Linked DNA regions of Saccharomyces cerevisiae S288C. Changing the gene in region 1 together with any one later gene gives a genetic interaction. Each region holds a gene or a part of one and is shown on either strand. Other genes may lie near its edges. The genes, in order: NUP157 and HEH2.

What was found.
Region 2: mutations in NUP157 (region 1) and HEH2 are lethal when combined (synthetic lethality), as found in Saccharomyces cerevisiae (one study listed by BioGRID).

What each region holds. Positions count from the first base shown.
Region 1 is NC_001137.3:370,206-373,805, reverse strand, and holds the start of NUP157 (Nup157p), read left to right. Parts: upstream 1-1,792; coding exon 1,793-3,600. Other genes in the region: RNA export factor GLE2, read left to right, coding at 1-358; MAM1 (Mam1p), read right to left, coding at 572-1,480.
Region 2 is NC_001136.10:1,380,206-1,384,349, reverse strand, and holds the start of HEH2 (Heh2p), read left to right. Parts: upstream 1-2,303; coding exon 2,304-4,144. Other genes in the region: TFIIH/NER complex subunit TFB3, read right to left, coding at 1-539; palmitoyltransferase PFA5, read left to right, coding at 907-2,031.

The DNA.
Region 1 (3,600 bases):
TTCATTTAAATGCCATCGTCAAACCAATCCTAATAGGGCACCTGGCTCCAATGGTCAATCTCTAGTGTATCCTGTAAATAGCATTGCATTTCATCCATTATATGGTACTTTTGTTACGGCTGGTGGTGATGGTACCTTCAATTTTTGGGATAAGAATCAAAGGCATAGATTGAAAGGCTATCCTACTTTGCAAGCATCTATTCCTGTATGCAGCTTCAATAGGAATGGTAGCGTATTTGCGTACGCTCTAAGTTATGATTGGCATCAAGGCCATATGGGCAACAGACCCGACTATCCAAACGTCATTAGGCTACATGCCACAACTGATGAAGAGGTTAAAGAGAAAAAGAAAAGGTGAAATTCGTTCTTCGGATAGCTTCCGTGCGCAACCACATTACTTTTGTAATTTTTTATATTTGCAATATGTAAAAGATATATATTTTTTAATGATACAGGTTCTTTTGGAGAGAATAGGAAAATCTCTCTATACCTATTCAAAATTGATAAAAAGTTTTACAGGTTACACTGAGTCGCCGTTTTAACCGGTGGTAATGTGCAGACAATACTTTCATTAATTTTCATCTATATGTAGCTTTCTTTCCAAAGCACCTATGATCTTTTTGTTTTTCTTTTTGGGAACCACTTCCAAGGTTTTTCCCTTTGATTTAATTTTTTTTGTATTTGGTGAAGAGCTGAATGGATTTTCAGAAGTGGCGCTCAAATCGTTTAGAACCTTTCGTGCATCCAAATGAAAGTCGTCAAATGCAATTTCATCCTCCCTTTTTATCAGGACACTTTGCGGCAAAAATCTTTTCTTTTGATGGTTTGTCTCTATAATACTATCAATTTCAATTGTTAAGTCTTCAATGTTTTCCTTCCTTTTCTGTTTATTAGTGTAGTCAATATTATTGGGTATCAGTAATTGTCCTATTGGAAAATATTCATAATGCTTCTCTTGTTCTTTAAGTAGAATATTCTCCATTTTCCACGACTCATCAATTGCGGAATACACATATTTATTATAGCAACTAAGGCGGAGATTTTCATTCCAGTTTTCACTCATTTCCAACTCAAAAAGGAACCAAAGTCGTGAATACTTGATATCTCTTCTATTTTCTGTGCTACAAAGACAATGATCACAGGCAATATCATTAAGTTCTCTATCGAAAATTTTCTCTTGTAACTTTTTCAAATTACTTCTTGTTAGACATTCCGTTGCTTCTTCATTAGCGACATTATTTTGTAAATGCTGCGTATCTTTGTCTTCTTTTGCTGCAACATTACCGGAGTTTTGCTTTGGTTTTACCGAGTGTTCTTTATGATAACTCGATAAACAGTGTTCTTTTATGTTCTTCTTCGGTTGCTTTTCTGGGCTGGTATTGGATATCTTCCTGCTCAAGAATCGGGAATATCTTTGGAGTTTATTTGGGAATTTGAGATAGTTTGTGTCTTTATTTGAAATTGTTCTTTTTTCCCTCATTTTTTTTTCAGGAAACAAAAAAATTCTCTGAAAATGCTTTTGCTAGTAAATAAATATGGCTATGTTTCCATTGTTGAACTTTCCATGAACGTCTGGAGATTATTCTATTATTATAGTATTTGCTGATTAAAGTATTATAAAATTAGTGACACAAAATAGAAAGTATTACCCGACTTTGGAGAGGAAAGATTTCTAATGAATAATTTCCATCTGAATTTTGAATGGCTTTATAAATCAATAGAAGAAATTAAGAATAAAATCTGTTTGTAGGAGAAACATTTCACAAAAACTACAGCTCGGATTTCAATTGTGATGTATTCAACTCCACTAAAAAAGAGGATTGATTACGATCGCGAAACGTTTACGGCTTCGGCTTCCTTAGGAGGAAATCGCTTAAGGAATCGGCCAAGAGATGACCAAAACAACGGTAAGCCCAACCTGTCGAGCCGTTCCTTCCTAAGCGAAAGAAAAACCAGGAAAGATGTATTAAACAAGTATGGCGAGGCTGGAAATACTATTGAATCAGAACTTCGTGACGTAACTACACACGTCAAGATAAGCGGGTTGACTTCCTCTGAACCGTTGCAGTTGGCTAGTGAATTTGTCCAGGATTTGAGCTTTAGGGACAGAAATACGCCAATACTAGATAATCCAGACTATTATAGTAAAGGTTTGGATTATAATTTCTCAGATGAAGTCGGTGGATTAGGTGCATTTACCCCCTTCCAAAGACAACAAGTGACAAATATACCAGATGAAGTTTTATCACAAGTTTCAAATACCGAAATAAAGAGTGATATGGGTATTTTTCTCGAACTGAACTATTGTTGGATAACCTCTGATAATAAATTGATCTTGTGGAATATCAATAATAGTTCAGAATACCACTGTATCGATGAAATCGAGCACACCATTTTAAAAGTGAAACTAGTTAAGCCTAGCCCAAACACTTTTGTTTCTTCTGTTGAAAATTTATTGATTGTCGCCACTCTTTTTGATATCTATATTTTGACAATATCATTTAATGACCGTACTCATGAGTTGAATATCTTTAACACAGGATTAAAAGTAAATGTAACTGGGTTCAACGTTTCTAACATAATAAGCTACGAAAGGACTGGACAAATATTTTTCACTGGTGCGACTGATGGTGTCAACGTGTGGGAATTACAATATAACTGCTCGGAGAACCTATTCAATAGCAAGAGTAACAAAATATGTTTGACAAAGTCAAACTTAGCAAATTTACTACCTACAAAACTAATACCTAGCATACCCGGAGGAAAGTTGATACAAAAAGTACTAGAAGGGGATGCAGGTACCGAAGAAGAAACTATATCACAGCTCGAAGTTGACCAGTCAAGAGGCGTTTTACATACTCTATCAACGAAATCTATTGTCAGATCTTACCTAATTACTAGTAACGGGCTAGTAGGACCGGTCCTCATTGATGCTGCTCATATCAGGCGTGGAATGAATGCATTGGGTGTAAAAAATTCACCTCTACTCAGTAATCGAGCTTTCAAGATTGCCAAAATTGTTTCTATCTCTATGTGTGAGAACAATGATTTATTCTTAGCTGTTATAACTACTACTGGGGTACGCTTGTATTTCAAAGGTTCCATTTCTAGGAGATCGATTGGCTCATTAAAATTAGACTCTGTAAAGTTTCCTCCTACCAGTATATCTAGCTCCCTCGAGCAAAATAAATCTTTCATAATCGGTCATCACCCCTTAAACACACATGATACAGGCCCACTTTCAACACAAAAAGCTAGTTCAACTTATATCAATACCACTTGCGCTAGTACGATAATATCACCAGGTATATACTTTACGTGCGTGAGGAAAAGAGCTAATTCCGGAGAACTATCTAAAGGTATTACAAATAAAGCTTTGCTGGAAAATAAAGAGGAACACAAACTTTACGTTAGTGCTCCAGATTACGGTATATTAAAGAATTATGGTAAATATGTAGAGAATACCGCACTACTCGATACGACAGATGAAATTAAAGAGATTGTTCCCTTAACAAGATCTTTTAATTACACTTCTACTCCCCAAGGTTACGCCAATGTGTTTGCCTCACAATACAGTGCAGAACCATTAAAAGTTGCCGT
Region 2 (4,144 bases), on another chromosome or scaffold:
TCGATTTGTCTTTCCAACAGTCGCTTCTTCAATTTCATCTCCTTTTCGAATTTTTGTCTCTGTTCGAAACTTTCTATCTCTGTTCTGCTTCTCTCCAAGTTATTCATAATCAGTTGCTTGTTTAATTCCTCGTAGGTGCGTAGTTTCTCCTCGGTCTTAGCCACATCGATCCCGTGATCTAGTTTGTATATAATGTCTTCCACCTCTTCCAAATATTTGTTATATTCCACAAGGTCACCATTGAAGTCATCGATAGTTTTGTTGAACACATTGAACACTCTCTTCCTGATGTCAACTTCTTTCTCAACTTCCACATCATCGAATATTTGGGTCTTGAACTTATTCTTTCTAAGAATCTTGTCACACCCTTTATATGGACACTGGGCAGGACCGAGACTAAATATTCGATCAACACACGACTCACAGATCCTGTGATAGCATTCAGGATTCACCAAAAATTTCACATCCGGAGAAAGGTATCGATCTGTCTTACAGATCGGACACATGTCCTTGTTTTCCTCATACTCATCCATAAGCATTTTTCTTTCACTTATATTTACTTGTGTGCGGGGGCCCACTAATGCTGCAAATCCTAAGAGGAAACAAACTCAAATTTTAACAAGCAGTTCAGTTTCTTAGCTGATGATGAGTGCTGTCTTGTGCGTCTGTTCTGTTGTATACTCTCTTTAGTATTAGTGCTTAAGAACAAATTTACGAGCGAACGGCCCGATTTGGACCATTTAGTCGATTTTTTTTTCCACTATTTACGTTTTAAATAATAGTAGCATAAACACAGCACTCAAACAAAACAACTAATTAGGCGTATATCTGCCCGTTGTAATATTTTCAGAACCTAGCTAAGGTCCTTTCATCGCGACACGGCAGAAATTAAACCGTTGTATATGAATGGCTCTATCATGGAATATTCGAATCAGGCGCAGGTCATGGTTTAGATTCATCTTACCGATTATCGTGCTCGGTTTACTGTGCTACGGTACGTGGGCTTACTGCCATAAACTATGTTACGAGCAAGTCGACAAACGACTTCGTCAGAAATCAGTTTCGGTTGGTCTTATTTGTGCGGTATGCTTCCTAGACGTAGTCGTGATTTTCATATGGCTTCAAATAGTTATCTTGGTCGGTCCAGGTACCCAACCGCACGTAGCACCTTTTTTGATCCTTCCTATAGCCTCTGAAGAGAAGACTAGCAACACTTCTCAAAACACTTCAGTGGAATACGATGCTGTGGTTCCGCCTAAGTGTTATCAGTCTGATCCTCACGGATACCCAATATGGTGCAGTGAATGTCAAAGTCTGAAAATGGAACGAACGCATCATTCTTCAGAACTAGGCCACTGCATTCCTCGCTTTGATCATTACTGCATGTGGATAGGGACTGTTATTGGTAGAGACAATTATAGACTCTTTGTGCAGTTTGCTGCTTATTTTTCAACACTTTTACTTATCATGTGGGTGTCTATTTGCGTTTACATAAGAATTATTACTCAACACAATCATAATTATAGCCCCAATTTAAACGCAAATATAATTTCAACGTTAGTGTTTGCCATCCTTGGATGGTTATTAACCGCAAGTTTGTTGGCATCGAGTATTTTTTACATGAGTCAAAACAAGACGTCTTTGGAGGCTATCATAGATAGCAAAAGGAAAAAATTTGGAACAAGGAAGATATTTTGTTATTACTCGGAAGCAAACAAGTTGAGGTTTGTGGTAGAGTTCGATAGATCTGAATTTCACTCTTTCTGGGACAAAAAGTCAATCTTAGCTAATATAAAAGACTTTATGGGTTCTAACATACTTATGTGGATAATTCCTTTAGGCAAGCCCTATACATCTCGATGCAAATCTGATGGCAAAAGCGGTTCAAAAACAACGCTAGTGGAAATATTGGGTCCCTATGAAGAAACTCTTAGTGACTACACCATTCAGGCCATTGAGGACAAGATATCAAGAGGAGAATATCTGGCCACATTGCGGGCTTCTGGTGACGATAGTGATCCTGCTTACTAAATAGTATTAAATTTTTCAAGCAATTTATATTCTGGGACGAAACTCATGTTACAATCGGTATATGTTTCTATTATCTATTCATTTTAATATATTCTGTATGCGTAGGGGAAGGGATAGTATATACATTTTCTTGATCGTCCTTCCATAAATAGTAAGAGATAAGTTTGAAAAAAATAAAAAAGAAGAGAGATTTTAACAGCAAAGAAACGGTAGGATGAACTTTAACGGACATAATAGTAGAAAAGGAAGTTTCCTATCTTCACTAATCGACAATGGATCACAGAAACCTTGATCCGAAAACGCTGAAGGTCAGCCAATTGAGAAGAGTTTTGGTAGAAAATGATGTTGCGTTCCCTGCCAACGCTAGGAAGCCTGTCTTGGTGAAATTGTTTGAGGAGAAAGTGAGGCAACGTCTCCAATCTTCACCTGAGGCCTCAAAGGTTAGAACTAGCATTCAAAAGGTTGTGAAGTCTGGGGCAAAAAACGCAGATCGCAAAAAGACATTAAAGAGTAAAAAGCTTGAATCAAGTTCTAGTGAGAGTAAAACTGTCAAAGATGAAAATGTTGAAACTAACAAGAGGAAAAGGGAACAAATTAGTACGGATAATGAAGCGAAGATGCAAATACAGGAAGAGAAGTCTCCTAAAAAGAAAAGAAAGAAAAGATCTAGTAAGGCCAATAAACCACCAGAGTCTCCTCCACAATCTAAGTCAGATGGGAAAGCAACTTCTGCTGATTTAACTTCTGAACTGGAAACTGTAGAAGAACTTCATAAGAAAGATTCTTCGGATGACAAACCAAGGGTAAAAGAGCTTCCAAAACCAGAATTGCCGAATTTAAAAGTATCAAACGAATTTTTAGCTCAACTAAATAAAGAGTTAGCTAGTGCAGCTACGGAGAATTATGATCATTCTATAAAATCCACGGACTTATCGTCTATCAGAATCGAAACAGAAGAGCCTGTTGGTCCTTCAACTGGAGCAGAAACAAGAAATGAAAGTGAGGTGATGGAGAATATCAATTTGGAAGTCCAACCTGAGGTGAAGGAAGCAAAAGAAGAACTAACAAAAATATCAGAAACTTTTGATAATCAAGACGAAGAGGATACTAGTAGGTTATCGTCGAAAAAAAATATACGAAGTCCAAAAGGTCGCACCAGGCACTTCATTGCCAACAAAACTAAAAGAGGGATAGATATTATGAAACCGTTTATTGCACATCTCTTCATTTGGTTATGGAATGGTGCTATTTTCCTTTCAATAATATGTCCTATTCTTTTTGGTCTTTGGTATCGAGAACAGAGAATTCAAGTAGGATATTGCGGTCATGAAAAGCCCCTGAAATCTCTTGCAATCTCAGCTTTCCCTCAGACTGAAAGGGTAGATTCAGTGTTGCAAGCTTATCGACCAAATTGTCTCGAATGTCCTGAGCATGGAATATGTTCTTCTTTTATGAATGTTGAGTGTGAACCAGGCTATGAGCCTAAAAGTTCTATTTTAGAAACGTATGGTATTATTCCTTTTCCAAAATATTGTGCCAAAGATGAAAGTAAAGAAAAGGAGGTTGATGAACTGGTTTGGAAAGTAAATGAATATCTTAAAAAGAAGAATGCACAACATGAATGTGGTGAAGGAGAGAATCTCTTTGAGAGTGGTGAAACGGAAACCAAATTATATGATATATTCTCTCATTCTAGACCGTCATGGGAAAGTCAAAGGGAATTCAATGATCATTGGAAAAATGTGCTTGAAATATTAAAGAAAAAAGATGATATTATCTGGCTGCCATTAGATTTTGAAACTAATGGAAAAAGAGAGAAATCTAAATCTAATAACACTAACTATATTTATCGTTCAACTTCAAAAAAATGGGTTACGTTGCAATGTCATTTAGAAGGGGATATACAGGAGTATATAACGAAATATGGTGGTTCTTTATTTATCACCCTAGGCGTCCTTTTCCTTATCAAAAAAATACAATCGACACTTGACAATTACGTTCAAGGAGAGCAGATAATTGAGAAATTGGTAAAAGAGGCAATTGATAAATTGAAAGATGTAAAGAAGAACAAAGGTGAAGAACCTTTTCTGACAACAGTTCAACTAAGAGCTAC